4 linked regions of the Styela clava genome follow. The protein of the gene in region 1 purifies or fractionates together with the protein of each later gene. This does not show direct contact. Links are inferred from orthologs where the notes say so. Each region holds a gene or a part of one and is shown in the gene's direction. Other genes may lie near its edges. The genes, in order: splicing factor 3B subunit 1-like, survival of motor neuron-related-splicing factor 30-like, nuclear cap-binding protein subunit 1-B-like and histone deacetylase complex subunit SAP18-like.

Region 1 (7,958 bases):
AACAACGCTCACAGACCGTCTGCCCTGCACACGTGAGCTAATAATTACATAGTACCGGAATATCGGTATCCGATGATATCGGCATATCGGTATCAGCGTTTTTTGTTTTGTTGGTATCTTGTCAGTATCGGCAGCAAAAGTAGTACCAGTACATCTCTGATAGAGAATGAGGATGAAGAACGTATCCAGCAAGATTCACGTCAAGCTAGTTGTTACGTCACTTGTGTTTGGTTTTACATTGTTACGTCACAATAATGCCTGTAGTTGTGGAGGTGTTTTTCACTGGTTTCCAAGTCAAATGTGAGCTATGTTGATGAATGGACATTCGCCTGTTGATTTACAAATTATCATGTCCACCGGTGACAAATGTCGGTGACATTTGATTTCACCTATAATGTGGATTGATATCAGTACGCATTTGAACCACTAATTATAGGTCTCTTTTTGCATTTGAAGATTTTTTTACTTTGTTACATTCCCAATATGTTTGTATATGTAGAATTTTTTGTTGCTTGATTTTCGTATATATTTTTTAAAGCAACAAACAAGTGTTTTTTCATTCAAGTCAATCATACTCATTCTGCTTTCCGGCCACGAAAGACAATACAGAGAGTGAGAGTTTATTTGTTTTGTTCACCAGAAAAAAATTTACACAACAAAAAAACATAATTATCAAAAAGCAAAACAGTTTTCGGTATTGACTGGGTGGCAACGATACGACCATGCGGTCATCGGGTCAGTTACCACCCGATAGTAATATCAATAAACATGAATAAAAAATGGTTCAGATATGTTTTAACGTATTTCAGGTGTGTCTAAAAACAACATTAAGTTTCCATGGAAAGGAAATACACAATAGGCAATAACATATAGGCGTTTAACGCTAAATAAAATTTCGGAAATGTTACACACTTGATCAAGTGTGGTATTGATCAAATTTGACATGAATAAGTATTTTTGAGTAAATGGAGCATAAATTGTGTGGAATCGGGTATTTCGGATTGAAGAACACACAATAACATTTTGTGTAAATAGTGAAAAAATTGCGCAGCATATATATAAATCATTAAACAAAATCATTACAAAGTAACAAAATAAATTAAAACGACAGTTTATAAGGTACAAAAAAACAATAAAAATTGCAAGATCTCAAAATTGAGCTTAAGCTGGAATATGCAAAATAATACAGTATATGCTTTTTGTGGGTTTTATATTGTTGAATGACGCGTACTGTAAATTTAATAGTATGATTCCAGTGAATATGAACACCCATAGATGTTGCTAATATAGCCTACTCCATCGATTCGCTGGAATGAGATAGGTGTACAAATACTTGAGAGGAGGTGCCTAAAGGTAAATTGAGTGTTCCCGCTTTGAGAGTACCTATCAAGTAAAATATTGTACATGAAGGCATTAAAAGTCAGAAATAAAATGAGTCTTATAGGGCTAATATTGGAATACTAATGGAACTTAATTTCGGGGAATAATTGAAAAATAGAATGGAGAACAACCCATGTTAAATTATAAACTACAGCCAATACACGCATACAAACTTTCAAATGTTATTGATATACTTTTAATTTATGTGTATTAAACTTATTATTTTAGTAAGTTTTTAATTTTAAATACTTTTAATGCGTAAAGGTACAAATATTTGAAATTCGTTTTTTTTTATACAAGTGTAGATGTGGCAACATACTTTCTATTCTATACTGAAACGCATGAAAAACGTTTTGCCATGTAGCGTTGGTCGATGGAAGTTACGGGCTGGCCACTATTTGTTTGGCCCCAAATTCTATTATTCATTGGAAGAAGTGGATTAGGAGGAGGAATAAGTGCGGTACATTATACATACAAAAAATGATGTGGTAAAGTTGCTACTACACTACTAGAGCTGTGGCTCAAGATTTTTTACCTTTTTGGCAGAAAACATAATGATGTAATGTCAGAATGTCAGACAGACAGGTCTGCAGGTGTTTACATGCAGACATGTGTATCGATATAAGGATGTACAGACGTAGAGCTTGAAAAGTTAACAGTGATGGCCATCATCTAATACTTCAGTATTTCGAATACCCGTACATTCTAAAAAATATTTTCAAATCTGGAATTCCGAATACATTCTAAAATCCCCCACATACAGACATAGCTTCATAGGTACCGGTACAGGTACCGACATAAATATTATTCAGTTTTCTAAAATCCAAGTACATAGGAATTAGGCTTTACAGCTTTATGAATGTATCATTGTAAAACAGTCATAAGTACAAACAGACAAATGGTAAGTCAGATATGATTGAAATTAGTGATTTTCTTGCTTCTAGGAAAAGAAACCTGTACCGGTATTACTGTACCGATATGAACATTACAATTCATATAGGCCTATCTATGAATTGTGGTAAACTGGAAAGCACAGAGACAGAGCAGCTAGGCGTCCAGTGAAATGTTTTAAATTATGCAGTAAAATCGAAGTCCAGAAGTCCTCATTAACAACACACACACTTTTTAACACCGCTAATTTTTTGTTATAAATCCTGACTGTTTATCGTCAGTGTAAGTGTCATTTAGTCGAGTGTTTCCCAACCGCCGGTCCGCGAAAATTTTAATGTGTTTTTCTACCGCCCCAATCGCTTTACTGAAGCCGAAAAGAGGTAGTTACGTTGGTTTATTACGCAATTTCTCTTCCGCCGTCATATTGCTGTTTGATAGGTGTGGTATGGCCCGGTGACGTTTGGCGCCGAGTAATCACACTTTTCGCTTTTTCGGTTCCGATTCATCGCGAATCGCTCCGTCTAATCTCGCAAGTTTCCAAAATCTGAAAATGAGCATGCGCGCTCTTTCTGTTCTGCACATTATTTGATAGTTTTTCCTCATGTGAAATGTTTTTAAGTGTACCCTTTTTTTTTGAAGAGTATATACTGATTGTCCGACATTGTGCAAATATATGTTCTGTTCCACTCATTTCAATTTTTGCCGGTCTGCGAGTACACTTTATTTAATTTTTCCACCATGGTAGAAAGGTTGGCAACCACTGATTTGGTCCATCGACATTGTTAAGCTAAATTCCACCACAATTATCTCAGGTATGCACAGGTATTGGGTGCTGTACTACCACGGGTAGTTATTTTTATTTTGCTCACAAAACTATAAATTAGTTCAGAAAAACGCAACTGTTATTACGCGATCATCGTCTTAATCAAATGAGTGGACCCGGTCCCCAAATTTTCATCCATTATAAGTACTTTATTTGAATATTTTTTTTTCTATTGATCAAATTAAGTTATATGATGCTTCTGTTGAAAAAATACAATAGAGCTCAAAGTTTCTTCCCACTCGTACTGAGCTGCCGTAATATATCAAGGAAAAAACAAGTGTTACTCACTGATCTTGTGCAGAAGAAGCCGGAAGACTTGAGAAGGCATCAGATATATGACTATTTCATTGTTCTTGATTTTGAAGCAACTTGTGAGAGATCAAAACTAACCTATGATCAAGAGATTATAGAATTTCCAGCATTTAAAGTTAATTCATCAACATATCAAATCGAAGAATGTTTTCATTCCTTCGTCCGACCAACTATACAACCAATATTATCAGAATTTTGTATGCAGTTAACTGGAATTACTCAATTCCAAGTAGATGATAAGCCTACTTTAAAAGAAGTTATGCAATTGTTTGACATTTGGATGGAAAAACATGTCCTTAGTGATAATAAGAACTTTATTTTTTGTACATCTGGTGATTGGGACTTGATGAAAATGTTACCCAGTGAATGTAAGATGAAAAATTTGACTTTACCTAAATATTTTTATCCTTATGTAAATATAAACAAGTCGTATGCATTAACGATGGGAAAATGGCCTAGACTTGGCAAAGGTCGACTCCATGCTATGCTGCGATTGTTAGACTTGGAAGTTTTTGGTGAACTTCACCAAGGTACGAGTGATTGCGAAAACATGATTCGTATTATGGAAGTACTGTCTAAAAAAGGTCATATTTTTAAGCCAACATCAACTTCATAGGACTGAAGTGAAATTGATGAATATTTCTCAAAAATTGTAATTGTTGAGGGTGTAGTGGCCCATGTGGAGTGCGGTTTTTGGGGCCAAGTTGATGTGTGTAGCTAAATGGGATACTACAACACTACAGTTAATAAGCCACATCTGGTCTTAACTGTTTTTTGATCTACTATTAAAAACTGATTTGGTAATTCGGTTTGTAATATTTCATGAATGTTTTTGGGAAATTTGAGATATAGTGAATATGTAGGTACCTAATTCTTTTGTAATAGCTTATTGAAATCCAACAAGCAATTTTTAACAAGCTTATTCTATAATTTTTTGATACTTGCGCTGAAATAATTAATTTGAAAGGATCCAAATGTATGAGTTCCAGATGAGCTTTATGTTCAAAATTTCTAGTGCTCCTAAGTCATCCATTGTTCTCCATATCAGGCTGAATATTGTTTGTTTTGGCCAAGTAGGACATGTGTTAAAAGCCATCTTGGTAACTACTGGTGTATCATGAACTCCAGTCTTGTTGAATGTTATTGCATTGGCGCTTGTAACTGTAAGTATTTATAATTGTTTGCAGTGAGTTATACTGCCTACAGGCACAGCTTATCGAAAACTAATAAAGTGCTAATAACTTATTGCTTTTTATCTTTTAGAATAATATAAAACACTAAAAAATATAGTATTAAAGGTATTCAAATACACGTTGCCTCGAAATGGCAACAAAGGATGATTATGTGTCTGAGATTGAGGCGATCCAAAAAAGGAAAGTTGCATTGAGCAAGAATGAAGATGAGGGTTCCCCTGAACAACCAACAGATGGTGAAGCTCGAGTTGGACTCGGTCAAGAAGGTCATTATGATCAGGAGATCTATGGCGGTTCGAATAGTAAATTTGCAGGATATGTAACATCCATCGCTCCAAATGAACAAGAGGATGATGATGAAGTTGAAGATGTGAATGCCGCTTTACTGGGAAAACGACAGACATACACTGCTCCTGCAGCTGTTCTTAACGATATCCCACAGAGTGATGAATCTTATGACCCTTTTGCAGAAACTAGAGCACAACCTATTCTAAACAGGGAAGACCAATATAGAAGACAAAGGTTACAAAGAGCTATATCTCCTGCACGTCATGATCCTTTTGCTGATGGTGGTAAAACACCTGATCCTCAATTGGCGCAGTACAAAGATGTTATGACACACCAAGCTCTTACTAAAGAAGAACGGGAAATTAGATCGAAAATTAGTGAAAAGCTGAAGTCTGGTGATGTCCATGTAAATGGAAATGCTAAAGCTGTTCAACCTAACGCTGCACCTGCTCAAAGAGAAAGAAAGAGGCGATGGGATGCAACTCCAACCCCTGATGCACCAAAAAAACGAATGACATGGGACCAGGCTGATGCTTCCACTCCTGGACATGCACCAACACCATTGCGATGGGATGAAACACCTGGCAGACCAAAAGGTGGCGAAACACCTGGAGCAATGGTAACACCAGGACAAAGTACCAGAATGTGGGATGCCACACCTGGTCATGCTACTCCAGGTGCTACAACTCCTGGACATGCAACCCCAGGCATCGGTGGTACACCGAGTGCAAGTGTAAGGAAAAACAGATGGGATGAAACTCCCAAAACGGAAAGAGAAACCCCTGGCAGAAATATTGGATGGGCTGAAACACCAAGAGCTGATCATGGAGACGAATCTGAGAGAATTCCTGGTGGTACCAGCAAGAGAAAATCAAGATGGGATTTGACACCAGCTGCTGCCACACCGGGAAGTCAAACACCGGGGTCTGCTACTCCAGTTTTTACCCCTGGTGGAACTCCAAGCGCATTCACCCCAAAATCAGGAATGGGAACACCAGGCTCTTTAGGAACACCCTCACTCTTTACCCCTTCAGGTGTCACACCCATGGGTACAAAAGCAATGGCTATGGCTACTCCAACTCCTGGTCATTTGATGTCCATGACACCTGAGCAACTTCAAGCATGGAGGTGGGAACGGGAAATTGATGAAAGAAATCGCCCACTATCTGATGAAGAGCTTGACGGAATGTTCCCTGAAGGTTACAAAGTTTTGCAACCACCAGCTGGTTATGTTCCTATTCGTACACCTGCAAGAAAAATTACTGCAACTCCAACCCCAATGGGAGGATCCACTGGGTTTCATATCCAGGTTGAAGACAAGTCGATGAAAGGAATTACTGATCAGCCGACTGGGAATCTGCCATTCTTGAAACCTGATGATATTCAGTATTTTGACAAACTACTTGTTGAAGTAGATGAATCAACATTGAGTTTAGAGGAACAAAAAGAAAGAAAAATAATGAAACTTCTACTCAAAATCAAAAATGGCACGCCGCCAATGAGAAAAAGTGCACTGCGTCAGATAACAGACAAGTCTCGGGAATTTGGTGCAGGACCTTTGTTCAATCAAATTTTGCCATTGCTCATGTCACCCACTCTTGAAGATCAAGAGCGTCATCTTCTCGTTAAAGTCATCGACAGGATTCTTTACAAGTTGGACGATATGGTTCGGCCATATGTACATAAAATTCTTGTCGTCATTGAACCACTTCTGATTGATGAAGACTATTATGCCAGAGTGGAGGGACGTGAGATTATTTCAAATTTGGCAAAAGCAGCTGGACTTGCTACTATGATTTCCGTAATGAGACCTGATATTGACAACATGGATGAATATGTGCGTAATACGACTGCAAGAGCCTTTGCTGTTGTCGCATCTGCCCTTGGAATTCCCTCCCTGCTTCCCTTTCTGAAAGCCGTTTGCAGGAGTAAAAAATCCTGGCAGGCACGTCACACTGGAATCAAGATTACACAACAGATTGCTATTTTGATGGGTTGTGCCATTCTCCCACATTTGAGAAACTTAGTTGAAATTATCGAGCATGGTTTGGAAGATGAACAACAGAAAGTAAGAACCATCACTGCCCTTGCTTTGGCTGCGTTAGCTGAAGCTGCAACACCTTATGGTATCGAATCCTTTGACAGTGTGCTGAAACCTCTCTGGAAAGGTATCAGAACTCATAGAGGAAAAGGTTTGGCAGCTTTTTTAAAGGCTATTGGGTACCTCATTCCACTTATGGATGCCGAGTATGCAAATTACTACACTCGTGAAGTAATGTTGATCCTGATTCGAGAGTTTCAGTCACCTGATGAAGAAATGAAGAAAATTGTACTTAAAGTGGTGAAGCAATGTTGTGGAACGGATGGTGTTGAACCCCAGTACATTAAAAATGAAATTCTGCCTCCCTTTTTCAAGCATTTTTGGAACCAGAGAATGGCTCTCGATCGACGTAATTACAGACAATTAGTTGACACAACAGTTGAAATTGCAAACAAAGTCGGTTCAGCTGAAATGGTGCAACGGATTGTGGATGATCTTAAAGATGAAAATGAACAATACAGAAAGATGGTTATGGAAACAATAGACAAAATTTTGGTGAATCTCGGTTCAGCAGATATTGATCACAGACTTGAGGAGCAATTGATTGATGGTATACTGTATGCATTCCAGGAACAGACAACAGAAGACATTGTGATGTTGAATGGTTTTGGTACTGTGGTCAACACCCTGGGTAAAAGAGTAAAACCGTACCTTCCACAGATTTGTGGTACTGTTTTGTGGCGACTCAATAACAAATCAGCGAAAGTTCGACAACAGGCAGCAGATTTAATTTCTCGTATTTCTATAGTGATGCGGACATGTCAAGAAGAAAAATTAATGGGCCATCTTGGAGTTGTGCTTTATGAGTACCTTGGTGAAGAATATCCAGAAGTGTTGGGTTCAATCCTCGGAGCTTTGAAGTCTATTGTTAATGTGATTGGTATGCATAAAATGACTCCACCGATTAAAGATCTTCTACCACGTCTCACACCGATTTTGAAAAATCGTCATGAAAAAGTACAGGAAAATT
Region 2 (7,930 bases), on another chromosome or scaffold:
AATACCAATGGCGCAATGTGTTTATTAACGAAATAAACAATCCGTAAAAAACAGATACATATAATTAGATATATATGTATATAATCAACGAACATTACTTCATTATGTACGTGAAAAAACAAATATAGAGACAAAAGCTATTTAATATCAGGTTGAAACAATTCAACAGTTTTTAAAACGGGAATCTGAACGTAAGAGTTCAAACGGGAATCCGTTCACTAATTGTCTTAGTGAACTGTGATGAAATGTGTTGAAAATCTCTTCGACAAAGTTGATGAAAAAGAATAATTGAAAAATATTTGATTCCTCATTTCAGACTAAAACGTCAAACACCAGCATGAAACAATGTGGGATTACAAATATAAGAGTCGGGAAATATTTTAATACTACCTATCGTGCTCACCTCTCTACCGACGACTTCCAACTCGCCAAACAAAATTTCATCAACCCATTGTTTATATGTTTTATCAGTCTATCATAAACTTGTTACGTTCATTTAACACCAATAAAAATTATGTTATTCTATAAAAAAAAATACTCACAGAAATCAGAGAGGTAATATTGGCAAGTTCGCCTTCAACAACGTAAGTTTCTCTTGTATCAAGCTGCAAAAAATCAATTCCAGGTATTGTATTCAGATATCAATCAGATCAATTCCAGATATTGTACTTATTTTAAAAATAAATATAGGAATATTTGATGTCAAATAACTGAGACAATTTACTGGCTTGAAAACTAAAACTCGTTGAAATATACATAGAAAAAAAATATTGTCCTTAGCACAAAGTTTACAATTTTATTGATTCAGAATGCAAAATAATGAACAAAATTCAAACGCACCTCTCGAATCTTGATTTCATCTTTATCTTCCAAGCTCATATCCACCGATACTGATAAACTATCAAACTGAAATAAAGCCGTTAAAAAATTTATAATTACAAACTATGGCAAAAATGAAATGCAGAAATATTTTTGAATCGTTTTTTTGCATTTATTGGATATTGTTAAAATATAATATAATCTACCTCTCGATCATTGTATTCAACAAACTGGAGACTGGAGCTTCTTCCAGCGATTTAAAAAAAATGTAATAACGATAAATAAATATAAACTTCGATTTTATTCATAATTATAACTGACGTGTTCTAAAGTATGTCTGACAAAAAAAGGAAACTGCCATACTTGTAAATAGTTGCAACTTGATATCGAAAGAACATCGCTCCCATTGAGTTCCACATAATCCTATAATTATCAACAAGTTAAATTAAAAAGATGATAATTATCAATTTAGTAGACTTACTCATAATTTAAAAAACGACATAGGTAAAAAGTATCAGATATACGTTTTTTCATAAGATCATGGTGTAGAATTTGTTGAAAAAACACGATAGAAATTCGGTTCCCAAATCAGTAACAAAAATTTCTTGTGAAGATTTAAATTACCATGATATTGTATGATATATGCGTTATGAAGATTTCAAGTTTAACCAATATTTCCCAGGACACCTTCTTCAACGTTATTTTCAACTTGTTCTATCATCCAGTTCATTCTTTTAGCTACTGCCATTGCAATCTAGTAAATATATTTTTGACAATATGAGTAGCGTATAAGAATTACATAAAACAATTTTTGCACAGCTCACCTGAATCTCTGTAGTTTTCTCTTCCTCAATATTGGCAGTTTTGACCCATAGATATAAAATTGTAACGGTAAACTTAAATTGATGGATATTGTGACTACCTAACTGAATTTACTGCTATAGCCTACTAGTCAGCATGATATTTTTGGTGAGTGTACGAATAAAGTGCCAAACCCAATATATCGATGGATGAAATTCATCTCCAACATTAAATTCCACTCTGATGTAAAAGGAAGTGGTGTGTTTCCTGGCGAACGGAAAATGAACTCGGCTGAAACGAAGAAGAAATATGTGATTTTCATTAACTGTGGGCCGACACGCCTCAAAAACCTTGTCGAACAATTCTTAAGTGCACTGGAGTTTGAAGAGAATTTTTAACTACTCTATGTTAATATATATATCGATATTCTAGCTATACCTTACCCTATTCCAATCTAAAAATAAACCTGGACTCCCCTCGGCCTGAAATTATAAAGTATTAAGGCAATGAAGGCATGAACTAAAATATATATAACTATGATAATAGAACTTTTTACATGAAAAATAATTAGTCCGAAGGGAGGTAATAGAGCCAGCATGTAGTCGGCGATTCACTTCCATCTTAATCCTGTAAATTAAAGCGTAAGTATTCTGTAATAACAGATATAATATATAACGGTCAATATTAATTTGAAATCTTTATCAATAATAATCTTACCAATGATCTAATTTTAGCTATTCTATATCCATCTGAAAAAAGAGAATTGAGTTTTATTGAGATGTTATTGCACGCAGTGCATTCGAGTAACAAAACAATAGTTAACATAAACTCACTCTTTTCATGTAATCGAGACTATTTCGTTCCCTCAATATTTTTTCGAAAGGATGTGGAGCAGTTGGTTCTCGACTGAGATTCTGAAGAGGAGTGATAAATAATACAGCAAGAAGTGCTTGAGCGTGTCGTGAAAAAAGGAGAGAGCATAAAGTATATTATAAGACCGCTCGAGACGTCTACGATTTTCATTGCTAGTAATAATTCGAAACTACAACAAAATGCGCTGAAATTAATTGGTATTCACAACTATCTTGAATTGTTGTACCCATGTCCTATACTCAAGTACAAGAAGATGCGGAACATAAATTCGTGTTTTATCCTCGTTTTGTGAATTCTAACAATATATTTAGGAAAATCTTCAATGATTTTCGAAAACCGCTAAAACAATTCTAATTATTTATTTTAGTCGGGAAAACTTTCAAGTCACAAGTTATAAGTTACCTCGTTCAAAATCGACGGTGATAATTGATACCACAAAGATGTTGCTTCCTCCCTTTTTTTGCAATGTCCAAAACAACATGCGTCTTGAACTAGTCTGACAGGCAGGCTACAGGCGGAACGACTTTCTGCAACATCAGGTGCCTGTGGCGTCAATTGATAAAAAAAAATATAGGTATGTTCCATGTTGTCTGATCAACTCCACCGGCATTAACCTTCTTCCTGCCGTCTTCCCTGGGCCAATTTGCATGAGTTATTTTTTAAATATTTTATTTGTCAACCATCAAGCCCTAAAGCTTCACTCGTGGCTTTTTAAAAGCGTGTGCTAGAGTTCTATTTAGCAATATATCTTTAAAACACACTCCTCTGATAATATTTTATTTTCTCTGCGATAAAATTTCACGCGTGACTCGCATGTCACCATTTAAAAGCCGTAAGATGCGACTGATGGTCAAGTGGCAAGCTGCGTAGCAACCCACTTCAATACTGTCAGAGCAACAACTAATAATTTTGCAGTTTGTAAATTTGTGATAATATATATATATAATTTATACAAGGAAACTAACAAACCGAAGTTTGTATAGTGAGCTAAATTAACTAGAACTGGTTTATAATCTGATATTTCGACCGCGAATTTAGTGAAACGTTTTTTTGAATATCTTGACTGATGTGGTATTTACTGTAATATGTAACGCATTTTAAAATGTTAGATAAAATAGTGTTGAACGGAAAATTAGTACATGCTTTTCACAGCCGATGTGGCAAAATCGCCACCTTGTTCCAAATTACTAAAGTAACCGATGTGTTGTCACTTTTAGTTAAATGTAGCTTTCGGTAGATCAATCCATAATTTTTTATGAGGAGTTCATCACACTTTCACTTCAAACAAGGCTATTCACACGCAGCCACTTGTGCGCAAGAAGCTACTATTGTAGGGAGGGCCGTTTCCTTCCTGTTTTGGCTTTCCCTCCTTCGTTTTTCATAGCCGGAACAATGTGATGACTGATGACCATTGGTTTTGGTCGGAGATATTGACCCTGCGATGCCAATATAGTTAAGTTCTATATGTGCAACGCTTTACTCACTATTTCATATTTCTTCAAAGTTGAATGAATGAAGGAGTTGACCCATTTCCATCATTCAAGACTACAAAAAAAGCAGTAACTTTTTTACACCCTGGATGATTTGAGCGTAAATATGGTTTGAGTGATTATCACTAGAACTCAAGATTTGTAATCAGGGAATATAATATTTGTTTGTTTATTACAACTCACATTCAACACGCAAAAACTTGGGATTTTTAGGATTTTGGGGATTGGGATTGCCAGTAAATAGAAATACCGTATAAATATAAAATCCAAAATCGAGACTTTTGGAGAATGTCCCAACCATTGAGGTGTACACTACAGTATTTATACACCTCAGTGGTCCCAATCGATCCTTGTGATTGGCTTGTCACGTGACGTGACTGCGCACCAGATTTGTTGTTTGACGTTTTGGCGATGTTTCAACTCAATCCTTCAGTCCCTTCCCTAGGTCTGTAGGTTCGTTCGTTGGCGTTTTGAAAGATCATTTTCCAGTTTTAACGCGAGCGTCTAAATTTATAATGTTGCCGGTACTCAATCAATGTACAGGTGCCGCGTATCGGGGTACGTATGACGGTATGGCAGTATCTGAGTATGGACAATCACTATCAGACTATGGTAAACCCTGAATAGGATAGGATAGTATTTACATATTTATCCCAGGGGAGAGGAAAGCCGATAAGACGGCTTATCCATATGGCAAACCACGGCCTCTCGTCCGGTTACAATTCCTAGTCGGTATCAGGGTATGGGATTAGTTATATTGTTTGTTTTCGGAAGCATGGACTTGGTGGTGGAGGAAGCCGAACGGTAACCGACCAGCGGTTACGTGAACCACCCAACGACGGCAAGGAGTCCAGCAATCCTCTCGCACATAACCATCCCTGCATGGGATTCGAACCTGCGAACCCACGCAGAGTAATTAGAGGTGCGGTGGCGAGCGTATTTCTAACACTTAGCCCGTTGAGCCACACCGCCACGCCGCGCTGAATCCACAAGATTCAGAGATTTGGGATACCGGTACCTTCATACCGGTATTCCATTTTTTTATTTCTGCTTGACCTTATACTGTTACGGTACCTAACAGACTTCTAGGCTAGTAGTAGGTGTGGCATAACAATTTTTTGATAAATGTATTGAATGGTATCTAAAGTCAAAGTCAGTTGCATGCGGGCGCAGTTGTTTCGCACGCCCGCAAGGGAATTCTGATTTGCATGCAGGAATTTCTGATTGCACGCCCGATTTCTCATTCAAAAAGGCCATGAAATCCAGACTAGCCACCCTCGAAACCTTAATAATAAACTAGTGTACGGTAGGCCATAGAACAACAGGTGTCATAAACCTGTACACATTATATTAATTAAATTTTCATCAGGTTTAGTACGGTATAATTTAAACTGCTATATATCTCAATTTCCCCACTACATTATCATTAATTTAGTGTTCACTTGTAATATTTGGTATATCTGTATAAAGCCCAGTCCTGTACCTGTAGTCTAACAAATAAAATGAATTTAAATAATTGTACTGATTTCAGGATTTATACAATTCAAGTTTGAAATATAGGAATGAGGTTCTTCGTATATGTACCGGATTGCAGAATTAATAAATGAATAATTTTACCATTTTGCAAATACAACAGTTTTGAAAACCTTTAGATCTTTTAAACCTTTGAATTTTTATTAAAACAAAAAATCATGTCTGCCGAATTGGAAGCAAATTTGACAAACTATAAAGTGCAATTAGCGCAAGTCGAGGCAGCTCTATCAGCAGATCCTGAAAATGAAGAACTTAAAAAATTGAAGCAAGATCTTGAAGAAGTTATTCAACTAACTAAAGATTTAATGGGAGTAGAAGCTGCAAAACCTTCAACGAAAGCAAAAACAACAACTGGAAAAACCGCCGAAGAAATAGCAGAAGAGACTGTTCAGCCTGACAGTGGTCCTCGTCATATGTGGAAAGTAGGTGACCCATGTTATGCAATATGGAGTGGAGATGGGAAATATCACAAAGGAGTACTCGAAGAAATTTTACCTGAAAGTGCAACAGTTGCAGTTCGATTTGATGAATTTGAGCAGCCAGATGTTTGTCAATTAACGCAGTTAAAACTGCTTGCCGATGGTGACAAGGCTGGTTTTAAATCAAAAGCCAGTAAACGGGAATTAATGATTCAACAACGTGAATATCGTAAAAAGAAAAATCAAAGAAAGAAAATGAGAGCAAAAGAGAAAGAAGCTGAATCTGAAATTTCGAAACATAAATGGAAAGAATTTAATAAAAAAATCACACATAAGTCTATGAAAGGTGCCGTCAAGAAAAGTATATTTGCATCACCTGAAGGTCTTGTTGGAAGAGTGGGAATTGGTACTTGCGGAACTGCAGATAAAGATATGACAAAATATGATGAGGGTGCTAAATATAACGCACGGCATCTTGTGCCAAAATCATGAAAGGGTGTTATAGAACTTCACACCTATATCATTTAAGTAAGATGGCATGTCTTTCAGGGATAGTATCAAGCGACATATGACAAAGTTCATAATCTTGTTACCAAAAGCATTCTTTCTGGCATTTGGATAATATGAACTGGATGAGGAAATTTATTATTTTTGGCTTGTTTTAGATTATGTGTATATTTTTGATAGGAAATGGCATGGTATTAATGTGTCCATGGATATTATGATGAAGTCCCAGTCATTTGTTTAGAGAAATGATATTTTTCATGCCTTCAATCTATTTATATGCTTGATGAATGAAACAGAATAATCGAAATAAAATATGACTGGAATTTAGATTAGATGTTTCGAATCTTGTCTACTATTTTGCTGTTTAAGTTGGATAACAGTTAAACTTTTTCTCCAGTGAAAATTAATCAAGAATGACTGGCTGTCAAAATCTCTAGAGAAATAGTAACGTCATGAGGGGAATCTTTATTATTTCTCGAGTTACAATGATGTAAATTGTACCAATGTACTTCTACTATTTTTTTTCAATCCAACTGGATGTGAATTTACTTCTGTGAAATATTCAAGCTTGTTTTTATATTACTTTATTCTTTTCTCTATAGATCAGCATAATTACTAACACTAAATTAAAATATTATTTGTCACGGAATGAAGAGACGACATACTATATTACGTGGCTCTCCTGGAAACAGCAAGAAGTCCAAAACATTCATACCTTGGAGTAATGGAAAACTAGATTCAGAAGCTAATATAACTGATGCAATGAGTGCAATTGAGCACATTAGAAATATATTTCCACAAGAACAACTGCAGAACCGGTTTCCGCCTATTGTTTTTAAACATCAATTGTATGCTTTATTGGAAAATAGAACGACAGTTGATCAGCAAGTAAATGATCTTTTTGAATGTGGACGAATAAAAATATTTCATTTGGAACATAGAAATGAGGAGCATATGATTGTATTAACAAAAGATTTTATTGCTCACGTCAATCGATATCACAATATTTCATCTAGGGAAGGACGGGGTGAACGTAAAGATGATAAGAAGTTAACTAGCAGGGAGCAAATCATATCTCGATTTTTGATCGAGGTTATTGGAAGTATATCAGAACTTACTATTACTGAACATACAATGATAAATCAATATGGATTTAAAGATAAAGACATTACAGAGTTGGTAAATGCCGGACTTCTAACTTTAAGAGATGCTGGAAGTTGGTGGTTCTCTATACCTGGCGCTGGTCAATTTATAAAGATTTTTAAAAAAGGAAGACAGGCAACAATAAGAATGATTAGAGCTACTAAGAGCAGAGAAATTCTATTAACTGAACTCAGGTCTCGTAAATCACCTGCGTCTATCAAACTTGGTCTAACATATCACACACATGATCTAGTTGGATCTGATTTGATAAAGTGCATTCCTTCCACCAGTGGACTGGTTTTAAGGATAGCAGATGATTAGCACTTGGCAGTGATCTTCTGCAAT
Region 3 (8,792 bases), on another chromosome or scaffold:
CATACTTAATAAGATACGAATTAAGATCAGGCGAATATAATGCAAGAAAAATCGACGCAATAAATTGATTTCTGTCAAATCCCATAATAGGAAATGCATTGAGCGCCTCGGAAAAGTTGAAAGTCTATCGGAATGGCTCTGTTCGAACCCAGAGAGCCTTCAATTGATCTCGCAGACATGAGAGAGAAGCACACTGAAATGCTTGCCTCAGAATCTAAGGCTTAGATTCCACATCACATTTTGTTTGTCGTTATCCCAGCAGATGAAGCAGTTGCGGCCCAGTCTGGATTTCTTGCCCTTTTTCACCAGAAATTGGCCGTGCAATCAGAAATTCCCGCATGCAAATCAGAATTCCCGGCGTACAATCAAAGATTACTGTGTGCAAAACGACTGTGCCCGCGTGCAACTGACTTTGGCTTTAGATACTGCTCAGTACATCCGTGTAAAAGTACTAGATAAAAAATACGTTGAATCAGAGCAGAACGTTTGACCTTTGATCCTCAAACATCATTTTTATACTATGTCATTAATTTCGAGAGTGTTCTTACAACTTTAGATACTGTTTAGTACACCCGCGTAAAATTATTGGATAGAACATACGTTGAATCAGAGCAAAATGGACAGTTGACCATTGACCCTCAAACATTATTTCTATACTTTGTCATTAGTTTTGAGAGTGTTTTTGCCACTTTAGATACTGTTTAGTACATCCGCTTAAATTTATTGAATAAAAAATACGTTATATCAGAGGAGAATTGACGCTTGACCTTTAACCCCCTAACATTATTTCTATACTTCGCTGGTGGGGGAAGTCGTAACTGACTAGCGTCGGCGAGGAGTCCAGCAATCTACTCGCACATAATTATATTAACCGAATTCCTATTGTTGATGATGGCTAATAATGCATTGTCGAGTAACGTCCATAATAATTGATTGAGCTATGTGTCTGGTGCTAACGTGTCGCAGTTGCGTCACTCTCTAATATGTTCTGTTGCTGTAAGCATCTTATGTTGTGTGTTGCGCTGGTGTAATAAAAAAGTGTAAGCGTATTCAGTTGACATATAACCGTTGACCGTAACATATAACTAAGACATTATTAACACCTATCATTCAACACGATGCGCCACACCACCAAGCAATTATGAAATAAAGTCGTTTTTGCTACGCATTTTTCGATCAAGCCGAATCTTGCAAGCTACCATGTAGTCAACAATCGATCGTGGAGCTACGATTTGTTGGCATACATTTTAATTTTTCCACAAAAAAATCATACACAAAATACAAACAATTAACACAGAGAAGATTGGGAAAATCGGGGAAAACTGACAAAGCCTTTATAAAGTTTTAATATACGTAAATATACATGCGCCAGTTTACCCACATTCAACACAAACATATATTCAAAATAAAAAAGACAAAGACACGAACGGGTACCGGTGTTGTTCGGGCGTCAAACTTGTGTAACATAAACACTCGGTGGGACTCAATTATTAGCCTACTCGATTTTTGATTTAAAAGCTATTTTGACCGTAAATATATATATTACTGATTTTACCCGGTTTCATTGGTGAGCAATTGCAAATTTTCGGCGTGCAAAATTGACTCCACTCGCGTGCATTTTTGCGGAGCGCTAGCGCCCTCGGGCGTGCATTGTCATGGAATCTGCCAGTCTGGGTTGCGGCGTTTACTTCGTTAGACTCAGAATATTGTGAACTAATAATCACTGATGAAACAAACTGAAAAAACTATGAAAATCAATTTCAACAAATGGATTAGGAATTCAAAGGAATAGGGACTTATTTTGTTTAGACATTTATTCTTTTTTTGCATAGGCTATTTATTTAAATCACTCATTTTTATTCTTATTTAATATAATTGGGTGGCAACTGACTCTGATGACCCCCAAAGGTCGTATCGTTGCCCCCCAGTCATAGCCTATACCGAAAACTTTTTTTTTGATATTTGTTTATGTGTGCATAAATTGTTTTCTTGGTTTGACAAAATGAAATAAACCTTCTCTCTCTCTCTAACTCATTGGGTGAGCCAATCAAATAATCAAATAATAGTTTATTTATCCATAGGCTATTTATATTATGAGCACCATTGGTGCCCTTGCAATCTAATCTAAACTGCCATCTAATTTTGAGCCTAACCCTTGCTGATTTAAATAATAGTTTATTTTTCCACATTTATATATTGAGTACTATTTGTGTATCTGCAATAACTGCCATCTAATTTTGAGCCTAACCCTTGCTGATTCAAATAATAGTTTATTTCTTCATATTTATATATTAAGTACTATTTGTGTATCTGCAATAACTGCCATCTAATTTTGAAGCTAACCCTTGCTGATTCAAATAATAGTTTATTTATCCTATTTATATTTTGAGTACTGTTTTATGTATTCGCCAAAACTGCCATTTAATTTTGAGGCAAATCCTTGCTGATTCAAATTATAGTATATTTCTCCGTACTTATATACTGAATACTATTTGCGTATTTGCAATAACTGCCATCTAATATTGGGGCAAACCCTTGCTAAGTCAAATAATAGTTTATTTATCCATATTTATATATTTAATACTTTTTGTGTATTCGCAATAACTGCCATCTAATTTTGGGGCAAACTCTTGCTAAGTCAAATAATAGTTTATTTATCCATATTTATATATTGAATACTATTTGTGTATTCGCAATAACTGCCATCTAATTTTGGGGTAAACCCTTGCTAAGTCAAATAATAGTTTATTTATTCATATTTATATATTGAATACTATTTGTGTATTTGCAATAACTGCCATCTAATTTTGAGGCAAACCCTTGCTGATTCAAATAATAGTTTATTTATTCATATTTATATTATGAGAACCATTGGTGTATTTGCAATAACTGCCATCTAATTTTGAGGCTGAACCCTTGCCATATTCTTTATATTGAGGTCTATTTTGTGCATTTGAGAGGCTGACCCTCTCTATTTCAAATAATGTTTATTTATCCAAATTTCCACTCGATATTAAGATTACCAAAATTGTTTCACATTTGGGGCATATAATAGTTTATAAATTGGTACTTATATATGTATTTGTGGGTATTAGTCACCCATCTGTCTAAATTCTTTCTTGTTATAAGGCTGATTCCACTCTTTATACAATTGTTTCCCAATATTATATTCACATGACTATGAGTACCATTTTGTTTATCTCCGGAAACTTATTTTTATATGTGAGGCTTACCGCTTACTCACTCAAACAATTGTTATGTGTCCAACATTACATTTGAGTGTAGTAGTCCAATAGCCAAATTTGTTTTTTATTCATGGGACTTAGACCTCGCTTTCAAATAATAGTCTGTGTAATAGTTGATTATTCGTTCAAACTGTTTCATTTCTCAAAGACAAATCTTATCTTTTAAAAATTTACTTTGCTAAAATAATTATATTTTTTTTGTTCAATTTGTATAATGCGCCTCAGCCCTTCTCTTATTTTCTCATTTTGTTTTTAATCATCACATGTCGATGGCTATTGAAATTTGTAGCCCAATTGCAGGCAATTTAGGTAAATTAGATAACAACATCACATGTAATATCAAAACGATAAATAGCATCCCGATCCCGCTTACATATATTTTCCAAATATGTATCCATGACGAATGCTTGTAATATCCCTTCATAAATTATTCTCCCAGTCCAAAATGAATGCAATATTTCTTCAAATGAAAAATAGTAATGGGCTTCTTAGTTGCATCATACCACATTTATTTTGTTAGTTTTATAACTTTTCTGTATTACCATGTTTATTCAAATTGTTTGTTTGTATATATAGATGTTAACACGAACAATTGCTTAGTCCATTTTTTTGTTTTGTTCGTTTTTTTTTTTCTTTTCTTTCAAATTTTGTTTCATGAATTTTAACCACTTCAAATAGTCATATTTTACTGTGAACTAATCAGCGTAAACTTGGAGGGAGCTGACTCCGATGACCGCATGGTCGTATCGCTCCTTCCAGTCTATACCGAAAAAAGTGTATATATTGTTACCATTATTTATTGTTATGACTGTTTTTTTTTTCTGGTTGACGAAAATAAATCTCTCTCTCTCTCTCAATAAAAATAAAATACTAGATACCGGTATAAAATATGGATACAACGAAATTCTGTTATATTCGAAGGTACGGTATCCCCCCTGATCAGCACCTAGTTATCAAACAAATAAAAACTGCAATCACTTACAGACTCAACATTGAAAAAAATAGAAAATTACCCAATTTTGTCAGGGAATTTGAAATAGTCTACTTAGAAATTGTATTTAAACTATGAATCAAGTGTGTATAAATTGACTAGTATAAAAATGAACATGTCTAATATCTGAATATATTTAATTTTTCACTTTTATTGTACCGTACATATTATAACTCAATATACTAAAAATTGGTGATGCAATAGACATACTGACATGTGAAAAATTAATAACGGATTATTTATTTTATGACTGTTCGCCTGGTTATATACTTCAGTACTTTTAGTTATGTTTCATTATATAGACTAAAAACTTATACTTCTGTACTTATATATTATAGGCTACTTATTAGATTATCCCATCAAAAAAAATAATAGTGTGAGACTTTTAGCTCAGTACAGCAGTATCTCAATCAGTCAATTCAGCAGATTTTTACAATATTTATTGTTAGAATAACCAAATTCTAGTGATCTCTCAATTCTGCAATTACCATAATTGGAAGGAAGAAGTCGTTAGAAGTTTATTAACTACATTAAGTTTATCCAACAAAATTTTGTTATAAGTTGTCCATAGATCCCTTCAGCAATGTGGAAGCTTTGCCCGATTCTGAATCGTGTTTTTTGTATGCTTGTATTATTATTTTTTTTGATGGGCGGGCGTGTACTTTTACGTTTTTATGTTAGTTGTATGTTATGACTACCGAAATCAATGATTGATAATTAATTGATTTATAATTCAGAAATAATGATTTTAAAAATATATTTTGATTTTAACCTTTTAAATAAATTTGACCGTATTTATTTGCTAAACAAGTAGGCTGACCTGCTATTCCAATAATCCCTTCGAATGCCCCACAGAGACCTAATGTCAGAATGTTAACTTTGAATTTTCACAGAGACATTACTTCAAAAGCTTCTTATTCTGTCATTTCTGTATAGTACTGTAGTACCGGTACCAGTACTTCAGAAAGTCAAATTTAAGAATTTAGTCAATGTATAACTAAAAAAACTTGAGATTTGTTTCTATCCTTCGGTTGAAATGTCAAGAAGAAGACCTCATGATGCAAGGGACGCGTCATCAGAAGATGAAGGTATCGTATTGATTGTTATTTCAGTATACAGGTTTAACTACTAAAATGAGCACTACAAATGTAAAAACATTCCTCCCATTACACACTTTATTCTTTTATATAGTGGTCTTAGAAGATTTTACTGACAGAGAATCGTTCAATTTTTCCGTATAATTTTGCATCCTGGCATCTCATTGGACATTTGTTCACATATCAAAATATTTCACATAATTGTGTGTTTTTAGCGACAGCATGTCCGATTCACAAACCACATTTTATTCGACGCAGGTATAGGACTATCCGTGTACATGTGTACTCATTTCTGCATTTATACAAATAGGACTGCCTGCCTATATCGTATAATCTCGCAAAAAATTTCATAAAGTGGCAAATTCTGCTAAATTTGAATAACAATGTTCCAATATTTTCAAATGTTATTAGAATATTTTCGAATCCTAGACTATCAATAAATTATGTATTATATCCAGCTGAAGCAAGTGGTGGAAATCTCTCAAAGAGAAGAAAGACTACGGAAAGTTCTGAGGAAATTGAGAAGAGACTTGAATCATTAATTTGTAGAGTTGGAGAAAAAAGCAGTTCATCCTTGGAAAGCAATTTGGAAGGATTGTCGGTTGTACTTGAAGCAGATCTACCAAACTTCAAACCTCAAATTTTAAGGATTTTAGTTTTATGGTACTTTTTTTATTTTTTATATGTGATTTTTTTAGTAAATGTAAATTTTCTTCATATTTATGAACCTAAAAGTTTGCAGTTTCAGTTTTATTTGGGACCCAAATGTGATTAGTGATTGCCATATATTATATATTCTGGTATAATATTTATATTCAAATGAGCACTTTAGGTTGCATTTAGAATGAGTAATTCTTAAAAAATGAATAAAACATATAACAGCACATATAAAAGGAAAATTTATGTTAATGTAAATTCAGCCATTACTTCCTTTTATACATTGGTATTAATTTTTGGAGTGTTTTTTGCTCAAAGCCAGGTCGTGGGCTCTTGAATTAAAAGGGAATATATGTTTTTATATAGGTTTTTAAATAACCTACAGAGGTATGATCAATGAATTATGATGAAAAAAAACAAGGAATCATACAGACAGTTAAAAATTCCCTTAAAATATAAATTTATTTATTTATATTTTTACATCTACATTTTGTATTTCAGCTCTTATCAACTTCCAGAAAAATGTACGATATACACAACTCTTGTTGGTTTGCTAAATGTTCGAAATTACAATTGTGGGGGGGATTTTATTGAAATGATGGTTCGTGAATTAAAAAGATTGTTAAATGCTAATCAGTACGATGATGCTCGACATGTTGTAAGTATATATATTCATTCTGCAGTGGTATCTTAGTAGTATGCAGTAGTAGTGGTATCTTAGTATTATTTATGCCTTTGAAGTTACCGTGTCCTAACAGCTTGCTTGTGCGTAGCGAGCAACGAATGTCATGAGATCAACAACCAAAATGTTTGTGCTTGCAACTACTAGACAGCTTATGTTAAATAAAGGTGCGGCCCGCAGTTTTACCCAGTTATTTGTATCTGGCCCTTCTCTATTATTAAAGGTTGCACACCCCTGATTTAGAACATGTAGAATCTAACTAAGATGGTGCCGTTAGTTATGAAAAAAGGGGTCATGCGTACCAATCACCCAGAGGCCAGAGCATTATAAATTTCCAAATATAGTTGATGTTTCTCGTGTTTGTATAAAACTTTCTACATTGCAGACACAGAAGATACTTCATGATAGTATACTGTTTGCTATTGTCGACGTTCCTAAAATTTTGTATTTCAATTTCAGGTGAAGTTTATTGCAGATCTTGTCAATTGCCACATGGTTACTCCTGAATCATTGTTTGGATTTTACGAAAATTTATTTACTGTAATTAGAGAAGAAGATGTTCCTCAAGCTCGCAGAGATTGGTGAGTATTTTACATCAGTGGTTCTTAAGCCGGACCCCCTTTTCAGAATTTGTCAAGTATCGCGCCCCAGCTCAAAAATAACTAATTAACAATAAGCTACAAATAACAGATAGTAGAGCGAAAGTATGTATAATTCGAAAAACACATTGAAAATATGTGGATGGAACATATATATATCCAAAATAAAGAAAAGTAAATATCCAAAATAAGGTAGACAGGTAAGATCAAATTTGACAAATATTAGCGAAGCCAGAAGTCACATCAGCTGGCAATGATATATCCAAAACTAAGTAATTTAATATTTATTCATTTGATGTTTTTTACTATGTTATATGTTGGTTTCACAATTTTACTTCAAAATTATTAAAAGTTAAAACATTATATTGGGCGTAGATATGCTTATTTAGACCTAAAATCGGTATCTATGTGATTGAGTTCTGAATAGTAAAACAATTTTTAAATAACTTGAATTTCTATTTTATAATTTTTCACTTAGTTGATTCATTTTCAGCATATTATTAAATTGCTACCTTTGGCTGTATCTTTTATTAAATAAAATTAACAAATATACGTTCACTATTCCAGGTATGCATATTCCATATTAACTTCTCTGCCATGGGTTGGTGCTTTGTTACAAGATCAGAGGTCAACAGAATTAAATCAAGTTTTATCTGCCTTGCATGAATACATCACTAGGAAAAGAAAAAAAATCCATCACAGTTTCTTGAGAGTCTGGTCGTCAGATGAACCACATCCACAAGAAGAGGTGAGATCATAGGCATTTATTGTTAAAGGGATGTCAATTCTTTTCAATATTTTGCCTCGCAATGGATTGTGATCACTAGGGTCAACCTTAGCATGTATTGTTTGCAATTTACTTACAAAATCAGAGTGGAATATGTGCCATAAAACTTGTTTTATTAACTTTAATGTATGAGTCGACAGTATTTTTTATTTGTCTCCTGCTTTCGGCTGTTACGGCCAGCGTAACTTGAGTAAAATAGTTCACCACTTTATATTTTTTTTCTTCTTGTGTTCTAGATATTTTGCCAATTGTTGCGTCATTATCAAAGTCTAAGCATGTGTATATTCGTAAAAATTCAATTATACTGGTATCTTAATTATATGTACCAGTATCGCCACTTTCCAGGCCTGCAAATATCATTCCGCTTCTAATTTTGGTCCACAGTCAATCAACTTGGGGAAAAACTGATCTAAACTGATACTTCACTACTTAATTAACAGAAATTTTTGAATTTTGATTTTTTCAGTACCTTGAGTGCTTGTGGGCACAGATTGTAAAACTATCTGATGACAGCTGGGCTGAAGAGTTGATTCCCCGTCCTTATCGAGCATTCGATGGTATTCTGTCTTCATCGTTACAACACAACATTCCTACATTTGTTCCACCACCACATACTGAGGGAGTGTCTTCCTATCCAATGCCTAAAGTTGTTTTTAGAATGTTTGATTATACTGATTGCCCTGAAGTAAGTTTATGTAATGTCTTTTTTACAGTATCGAGGTGATTTTTGTATT
Region 4 (8,297 bases), on another chromosome or scaffold:
GGATTCTGTGCGGAGTCGACGTACTTCCATTGGTGTGGCCGAGTGTGATCGAGTATTTCGCGAACGCGATTGGCTACAAATGTTTTAAATCTTCGAGTTTTATTTTTCAAATATCTCAATACACAAGTCGAGTCGGACCACATATGTACGTCGCCTAGTGGAAGGGATAGTTCTTTTCGGAGAAAATTTAACAATCGCACGGCCAAGAGAGCACCTTGCAATTCTAAACGAGGCACGGTCATACCTTTCATAGGTGCGACTCTTGCTTTAGCCGCGATAAGACTACACTGAAAATTCTCCCGGGAATGCTTCGATATTATGTATGCTACCGCGCCATATGCCACTTCTGATGCATCACAGAATATATGAATTTCATACGAGGAACTTTCACATTTAACACCTTTAAATTGACGTGGAATCGAAAAACTCTTTAAACATTTCAGCGAATTTATCCAATTTTCCCAACACTTCAATCTCTTATTATCAAATACTTCGTCCCAAGCTAAGTTGTCACGCCAACATTCCCGCAGTAATAATTTGGCATACAAAATGATTGGTGCTACAAATCCTAATGGATCGAATATTGAACTGGTTACACTAAGGGCCTTTCTTTTCGTGGTAAATTCAGTAAATTTCTGGTGGTCGAATATAAAGCAATCCTTCTCGATGTCCCAATGCAAGCCCAGAGCTTTTCTAACAGGTAATCTGTCCAGATCTAAGTCAACATTAGTGACGACACGTCCACTGGATATTTCACGTAAAACCGATTTAGAATTCGAAACCCACTTGGTCAAGTTGAATCCTTTATCGTGTAACATCTTAATCATATCTTTAGCTGTCGATACCGCGGAATCAACATTCCATTTCGAAGTAAGTAAATCATCGACATAAAAGTCTCTATCGGTAGTTAATATTACGTCTCTAGGAAACTTGTTTCTACTATCGTACGCAGCTCTCTTCAAACAAAAGTTTGCGACATAAGGTGAATCCACAGCTCCAAAAATACGAACTAAGAATTTATACACATCTGGCCGTTTGGTTGAAAAAAGGTCTTCCGACCAGAGAAAACGTGCAGAATCCGTATCATCTTCCGGCAATCGAATCATATGAAACATGGCTTCTATATCGGCGCTTATAGCGATTGGTCTTTCCCGAAAACGTAAAAGCACCCCGACTAGATTATTGATCAAATCGCGCCCGGACATCAATCGACTGTTCAGACTGACGCCGCAGCAAGTAGATGCCGCGTCAAAAACAATTCTTAGTTTATTTGGCTTGTTGGGATTTTCAACGCCATGATGAGGCAGAAACCAAGTTCGAGGACCGCGAAACGCCTTTTCATCTGAAGTTAGCTTACGCACCCAACCCCTTTCAATATTCTTTGCCATTTCTTTACAATATAAGTTTCGCAAACGTTCGTTTCCTTGGAGTCGTTTTCTGAGATTTTCGAACCTGTTAAGCGCTACGTGTTCGTTTTGCGGCATTTTGCAATTTTCATTTCTCCACATAAACCCAACCTCGTAATGACCGTCGATAAATCTAATTTTTCTTTCCATCAAATTATCAGTTTGTCTATCTTCAATCGACTCGCTACGGGTCAAATTGTACGCCGTGCCTACAGCTTCAGTGGACCAAAATCGCTCAACTTGTTCTTGCAGCATGTTATACTGGTCACGCAAATCACAACACAGCATATTTGAAACAGTTTCATCTTCATTAGTCGCGCCTGAAGACCCGATCAAAGTCCAACCGAGAGGAGTTTTAATACCCACTGGTTCATGTTGCTGGCCGACTCTACGTTCAAGCTGGAAATGCGCCAAGGGATTATCGGCTCCGATTAAAATCATGGCTTTGTTCGCTTCAATGTCGGTTAACGGAATATCCTGCAGGTGAGTCATATTGTGATCGTTCTTAAGGATTCTAGCTGGATGTGGTATGCGTGACTCGACCACAAACACGTTGCTTAACATCAGAATTTGACCACTCTCGTCGTGAGCAGATCGCACCGACAATTTCACCACCTCCGTATTTTGCGAAACGCCCTTATTGCATAAGGTGTTAATGGTTAGACACCTAGGACTTCCTTTCAAACCAAGTTTTTGTTTTAATTTGGGATGTATTATTGAGATTTGACTGGCAGAATCTAGAACAGCGATAGCATATTCAGAGGATCCCAATGGGCCTTTTACTACGACTGGCAAAAGCTGAAACTGAACACCATTAACGCCTGAAACATGAGAATTGGCAACGCCGCTCATTTGAGGAGGGAGATCAGGCTGATTGTTATCACTCAATCTATTAGGAACGACTCTCAAACCATGGATGGCTGAATGATGCTTACCGGGACAAACACGACACATATTGCGGAACCGGCACGAAATAGCTAAATGTCCAGGTTCGAGACAGTTAAAGCACAGGCGTGAATTTAGTAGAAATCTTCTTTTCGTGTCATTGGCACTAAACCTGAAGCTATCGCAGTTACTTAAAGAATGAAAACCATTGCAATAGAAACATTGCATTCGCGGTTGTTCGAGCGGCTGATTTGAATGACCCGATAAAGGGTATACCACATTCTTCTTAGGAAATGCCTGTCTGCGATCGTCACGATCTATTTTAGTACTGAAAAGATTTGGTGAAAAAGGATTTCCTAATTCCTCGCATCGTTCCCACAACCACTGCTCGAAGTCCAGTAAACTCGGCATTTCGTCGGCACGAATCATATCAGTCACAAACTTATTCCAACTCGAGGTCAGTTCTGCCGGAATTCGCATTGCTGTCTTTCTAACATTTTCAATACTATACAAATCTGCAAGCAATCGCATTTTCTTCAAATTTATCACAATGTCGCGAACTTCAGAATGAAAATCGGATATTTTTCGGATACTGAATTCTGTTACTCGTCTACCATCTACAACCTTCTCGAGAAAGGCCCGAGCAATCGTCACCCGTTGGCCGAATATATGTTTCAATTCACTCAACGCGACAATATAATTACTTCCCACCGTGCCTAAGCCATCGACATGTCGTTTAGCCACCCCCGTCAAAGACGCGACTAAGCGAACCATACGCGAACCGTCGTCGTCAAGAGAACTGTGTACATTATCAAAAAATAACTCAATAAAGTTTGGCCATTCTAGGGGCGTTCCGCTAAAACTAGGAATCGTAATCGGCGATAAATGGTGCTGGGACAATATTCTAGAATTCAACTGTAATGATAACATAGTTTGTTCCTCTACTGACATATTAAAAGAATTAACAGAAAATTTACCAGACTGGTTAGGTTCCAAGTGGTCAATCCACGCGTCGACTGCTTCTTGTGGTATGAGCATTCTGTTTGCAGGAGACGGGCGTTTGTAAGTTCGTGCTGTCGGGAAGTGCAATTCTTTGGTCTTTTCTGAATTTGTTGCCACTTGACTCTTCGTCGGAACAAAAAAGTTCACTGCACTTCGTCTGCGTGTTGACTCTAACGGATATTCAATATTGACGCCACGGAAGTTATCTTTAGGCATCTTTTTGGTAGCCAATTCAGTCTTTTCTTGTTCAATTTCACGCATAAGTTCGTCAGCTTGGCGACGTGTTAGATCTGCCATTCGTTCTTTTTCGTTTATATCAAGGCGACGCTCTAGTGCTGATATTTTATTGCGAATGGTATCTTCTTCTGTGAGAAAGTCTCGTTTAGCCATACGTACAAGAGAATCGGCTCTTTCTACCTCTCGTTCTTGCTCAAGTTGCAATCGCTTCAGTGATTCAACACTGCATTTGCTTGTATTGGATTCGACAGACCCGTGATCAGAAACGATCTCCTCGTCAAGGTAAGAATTAATTCTGCTTTCAATTTGATCGATTTTCGATAACATCATTTGCCTTCCAGTTTCATATTTCTTCAAAACATTTGGATTACGGGTAGTCGGAATGAGTTTATCCATCACTTGGTCATAAGCAATTCGTTTAATATGAAGTTTAATTTTAAGATCAGTAGCGATAGAATTTTGAGCATTTTCAGTAATCGATTTTGAAATTCTGTCGCACAAACCATTTAGTTCATTTTGTAGTCGGACTCTTTCGTGGCATAATACATTGCGTCCAATAGTTTCAGAGTTACCGTCGTCTGTTTCCGCGAGAGGAACTGCAGGCGAAGAAGAAGCTTCTCGTCTATTCAAATCTTGTGTAATTGATTCATCTGCTTCGTTCATCGTCGTCGCAAGGAGATTTGTTCAACTTTGTCACTTTTGGGACCCTCAAATGATAAGTCGATTTGCCAGACTCGTTTTATTGAAAGTATTCAAAACGGTTGACTAAAATACAAATGAAATAATTAGCACCAAATAAATCAAAGACAAATGATACAGAATATAAAACTAATACTTACACAAAACAACTCCATATAACAGCATAGTCCCAAAACGACAGATATACAACCAAGGTAAAACAGTAACTATAAATGCAATACCATACGAGCTGTAGACATGCAAATATCATAATGTTATATCGAACGATTCGAAATACAGTATAAAAGAAGACTATTGAATGAATTCAAACTTCAACGTTATAAAGGCGATGTAATCTTAAACTGCCATAACAAGAAATGAAATCCTAAACTGCTACCACCAGAAATGCAATCTTAAACATCTTGCTGAGCTTAGGGGACGATAATAAAATAAATACGTAACACGATAACACGTGAAAGAGAAAAATGCGACACGTCGAATACGAGAAAACAACACAGTAATGATGACGACGACGAGATAGCGATAATCATCACGATGACGATGTACAACTGAAGGAATCCTAACTAAACTAAACTTTAGGACCACACGGACTGCCGACATGTTGTACTTCATATTTTATTACATAGTTCATAGCTTGGCGGTAAAAATCCACCCTTCGGTTTCAGTCTTGCTCCACTAACAGCTGAGTTATTTGATTCGGTACAACAACACGAAGAAAATTCCCCATAAGACTCCATTGTATCGCGTTTTTCAAATATGGCACAAGATGGCGTCCATGGAGCTGTTTAACATTAGGCAAGTTGGTTGCTTGGCCTGGGCCGTCCTAAAACGCGGAAATACGATTTTGATTGACAGCCAACGGATTTGCTCATTCGCGGTACCTCTAGTGCGCGTGCTCTTCTGTGTGTTACGTGACGATAGAGTTGCTAGGTTTTATCTCTGCTTTCGTCTGTTATTTTGATAATAATTTAGTAATACATAAAACATAGCTATGCCTCAAGCTGGTTCACTGGAAGACCGACTCAGGAGTGTAGCACAGGACGCGCCAGCGGAAGAAAAGCCGGCGCCAAAGCCAGCTATTGATAGAGAGAAAACCTGTCCACTCTTGCTGAGGGTTTTTACTTGCAATGGAAGACACCATCCTCTGAGTGATTATGCGCGAGGGAATGTGCCAAATAATGAATTACAGATTTACACATGGTAAGTGTTGTGTTTGTACAATCTTGTTGATTTTTAAATCGTGGACTTCTAATCAATGACATTAGTTTTCTGAAATACATAAAGCAAACTAAATTGGGATGATTTAATCATATTCCGAACAAATTCTCCATGTTTAGTGTTCAGTTGAAGCTTAATCAGAAATATAATAATGCGTTTTTTCCATCTAAGTTTTTGATTTTATTGTCAGATGATATCTGTCCTTAAATTACTGAATTATCAAACTCCAATTGCTGAATTGTTCACTGTCACTTTGTTGTGAGAGAGAGTGTATAAAATAGGCGTGTGTAAAGTGTCTGGTCTCGTATCTCGAGTACTCCTAATGGGCTTAGTATAACAATTTTTGCACATGTCATTCCTAACCCCCACCTGACTACGCCATCTCAAAATCGCAATTAGCCAAAGAGCTTGCCAACGTATAACTGAAATTGCATCTGCACCGACGATAAAGAACTCGACTCTCATATCGGGATTATTGCGACGAGAAAATGAGAGAAATAGCTTGCTCGATTTTGCACAGTCGCACATTACTGTGTTATGCTACGCCCACTAGAAGTAAGAAACTACACTGAACCCTTCACAATCAACGATGCATGATAACCGTGTTTCGTATACATGATTTCACTGGTACCTGTTTTGCATCGCACATACGTCTAAGATAACGCCATTCTTGTGAGTTTGTCAATATTACTCATGGGCCCGAGTCTGTTTTACTTTTGTGTTATTGCACATAATACATTCACACAATTCATCACCACAATTGCTTGGCGGTATGGCGCATCGTGTTGAATGATAGGAATCCTGTGAGAATAGTTATGGGCGAAAAAAACGCCAGACTCCTCGCCGACTGACTCCTGGTCAGTTACGGCTCTGATTCAGCGTATTGCTCATCCAATAATTTTACGCAAAAACACTCCCAAAATTGATGACAATGTATAGAAATAATGTTCGGGTCGTCCAATTTTGCTCTGACCCAACTTATTTTTCATTCAATAATTTTACACCGATGTATGTTTATTTGCCTCAAAAATGTAACAGTACCGGTATCTGCATAATAGTTAAACGGTATAAAAGAGACTGGATACATTTTCAAGACCTTACCGGCCTAAGACACAGATGTGCGACATGCACGCTAACAAGTATAACTGCAGTTTAGGACTGCTGCGTTATAGTAGGACAACGAACATGAAAATTACAAATAAAACTCTTGTGCAATACACAGGACGAAGAGGTACGGCACCACGATGATATGTACAATAGGCAGTTTATGGCACGTTCATGTCCAAGGTTCTGATGATGGAGGGTATAAATCGAAATCGCATTTTTGTGTGTTTTACGGTAGATTGTACGAAACAAGTAAAAATTTATTCGAGACATGAACTAGCCAAAAACCAACGTTGGGTGGGACCACGACACAAAAGGGTTAGGTTCTAAAAAGGTAAATAATATAGGACATATGTAGAAATTCGTTGTTTACACTCGAGTTGGTAATTCTAAATTGTATGCGACAAAAGTAATGAGAACAATAGAGTCTGGCATAAAATGCAGGTCAACTTCATAGGCGCTATTGTGTGGAATTTATTGTCACCACGTCTCAGCATGATAAATTTAATTTGTATAAGATGATCTTTTCATTAGCAAGGATCCAATGAAGTAACTGTACAAAGCTAATAAACCATAAAAATATGCAGGAACTAGAGACAATGGAATAGTGGGTTGCCCGAGACTTGTTTCCTGAGCAATGGAAGTTGGTTGCATTCATGATGACATAGTCAAACGGAGATATTTTCATCTGCCAGTCTTTTCTCAACTTTTTCCCACCAATCATCAAAGAGCCCTTTGTATCTGAAAAATAATGCCTGGAGATTAGAATGTCCTGCACGAAAGCTAATATAATTCCAATAATTGTGCTTTAAGTTTTGATCTAAATGTACTTAACAGTACCAGTATCCGGGAATTTCTGATTGCACGCTCTATTTCTCGTTCAAAAAGGCCATGAAATCCAGACTGGCCTGTAGTTTTATCCAGGAATAATCTGAGTGAGGGCTCGGAACTTCGCTCAGACATGAGACTCCCATACTCCTGTGTGAGTGCTCGTAACTTTGGTCAGCGAAATTAAATATATAAAATTAACTAGTCTCATCCCTTTTTACACAGGATGGATGCAACATTGAAAGAATTAACAAGTCTGGTGAAGGAAGTGAATCCTGACGCTCGAAGGAAAGGAACAAAGTTTGAGTTTTCTACAGTTTATATGGAAAGAAATGGACGCCATAGGTTAGTTGAAAAGTATTCACCGTAAAGCTATCAAATAGCTTCTGATATTTCAGTGGCGCCCATACCTTGCTCAGATATTGTCTCATGCACTCTTGAATGGTCTTTCATAACCTTTCTCTCCTTTACTACCGAGTACTCAGAGTTATCTTTACTTCTGAGTGAGTGCCCGTAACTTTGCTTAGAGATGAGTCTTCTTTACTTCTGAGTGAGTGAGTGTGTGTTCAGAGTAATATTATTAAAAACAGTTTAAAAAAATACCCACCGTCGTCATTGAGGTTTTTTTTTAGTTAATTTAACGCAACTCCATCACACTGAAATGCCATTTTTGATTCCATTTTAATATTCTGTATCATGTAACATTGGTTATTCTCAGTATGGTGAAAAATCATTAATTAAACAATGGAACGCTCAATATTTCTCCACTATATTTTTATAGGTACAAAGACATTGGTCGAACAATGGCAGGATTGAAGGGGCCAGATGACAACGTTACTTTACAGGTAATTTTATCCGCACTATGGGAATGTCCGTCATATAACATTCCACACTGGCGGAATTCAACCCCCATTAAGA

The links.
Region 2: the proteins of splicing factor 3B subunit 1-like (region 1) and survival of motor neuron-related-splicing factor 30-like purify together in Homo sapiens (co-immunoprecipitation; 5 studies listed by BioGRID and IntAct, with this or other methods). This does not show direct contact. The link is inferred for Styela clava from reciprocal best matches to the Homo sapiens genes SF3B1 and SMNDC1.
Region 3: the proteins of splicing factor 3B subunit 1-like (region 1) and nuclear cap-binding protein subunit 1-B-like purify together in Homo sapiens (co-immunoprecipitation; 3 studies listed by BioGRID and IntAct, with this or other methods). This does not show direct contact. The link is inferred for Styela clava from reciprocal best matches to the Homo sapiens genes SF3B1 and NCBP1.
Region 4: the proteins of splicing factor 3B subunit 1-like (region 1) and histone deacetylase complex subunit SAP18-like purify together in Homo sapiens (co-immunoprecipitation; 3 studies listed by BioGRID and IntAct, with this or other methods). This does not show direct contact. The link is inferred for Styela clava from reciprocal best matches to the Homo sapiens genes SF3B1 and SAP18.

What each region holds. Positions count from the first base shown.
Region 1 is NC_135251.1:15,526,057-15,534,014, reverse strand, and holds the start of splicing factor 3B subunit 1-like, read left to right. Parts: upstream 1-4,628; 5' UTR 4,629-4,729; coding exon 4,730-7,958. Other genes in the region: ERI1 exoribonuclease 3-like, read left to right, coding at 3,285-4,022. UniProt on the Homo sapiens protein: Component of the 17S U2 SnRNP complex of the spliceosome, a large ribonucleoprotein complex that removes introns from transcribed pre-mRNAs.
Region 2 is NC_135260.1:11,000,702-11,008,631, reverse strand, and holds survival of motor neuron-related-splicing factor 30-like, read left to right. Parts: upstream 1-5,590; 5' UTR 5,591-5,674; coding exon 5,675-6,427; 3' UTR 6,428-7,045; downstream 7,046-7,930. Other genes in the region: winged helix repair factor 1-like, read left to right, coding at 7,091-7,906. UniProt on the Homo sapiens protein: Involved in spliceosome assembly.
Region 3 is NC_135261.1:13,146,346-13,155,137, forward strand, and holds the start of nuclear cap-binding protein subunit 1-B-like, read left to right. Parts: upstream 1-5,150; 5' UTR 5,151-5,272; coding exon 5,273-5,324; intron 5,325-5,791; coding exon 5,792-5,996; intron 5,997-6,491; coding exon 6,492-6,648; intron 6,649-7,131; coding exon 7,132-7,253; intron 7,254-7,838; coding exon 7,839-8,019; intron 8,020-8,524; coding exon 8,525-8,743; intron 8,744-8,792. UniProt on the Homo sapiens protein: Component of the cap-binding complex (CBC), which binds cotranscriptionally to the 5'-cap of pre-mRNAs and is involved in various processes such as pre-mRNA splicing, translation regulation, nonsense-mediated mRNA decay, RNA-mediated gene silencing (RNAi) by microRNAs (miRNAs) and mRNA export.
Region 4 is NC_135259.1:21,874,402-21,882,698, reverse strand, and holds the start of histone deacetylase complex subunit SAP18-like, read left to right. Parts: upstream 1-5,070; 5' UTR 5,071-5,220; coding exon 5,221-5,429; intron 5,430-7,604; coding exon 7,605-7,724; intron 7,725-8,160; coding exon 8,161-8,224; intron 8,225-8,297. Other genes in the region: uncharacterized protein LOC120332010, read right to left, coding at 1-4,193. UniProt on the Homo sapiens protein: Component of the SIN3-repressing complex. Enhances the ability of SIN3-HDAC1-mediated transcriptional repression. When tethered to the promoter, it can direct the formation of a repressive complex to core histone proteins.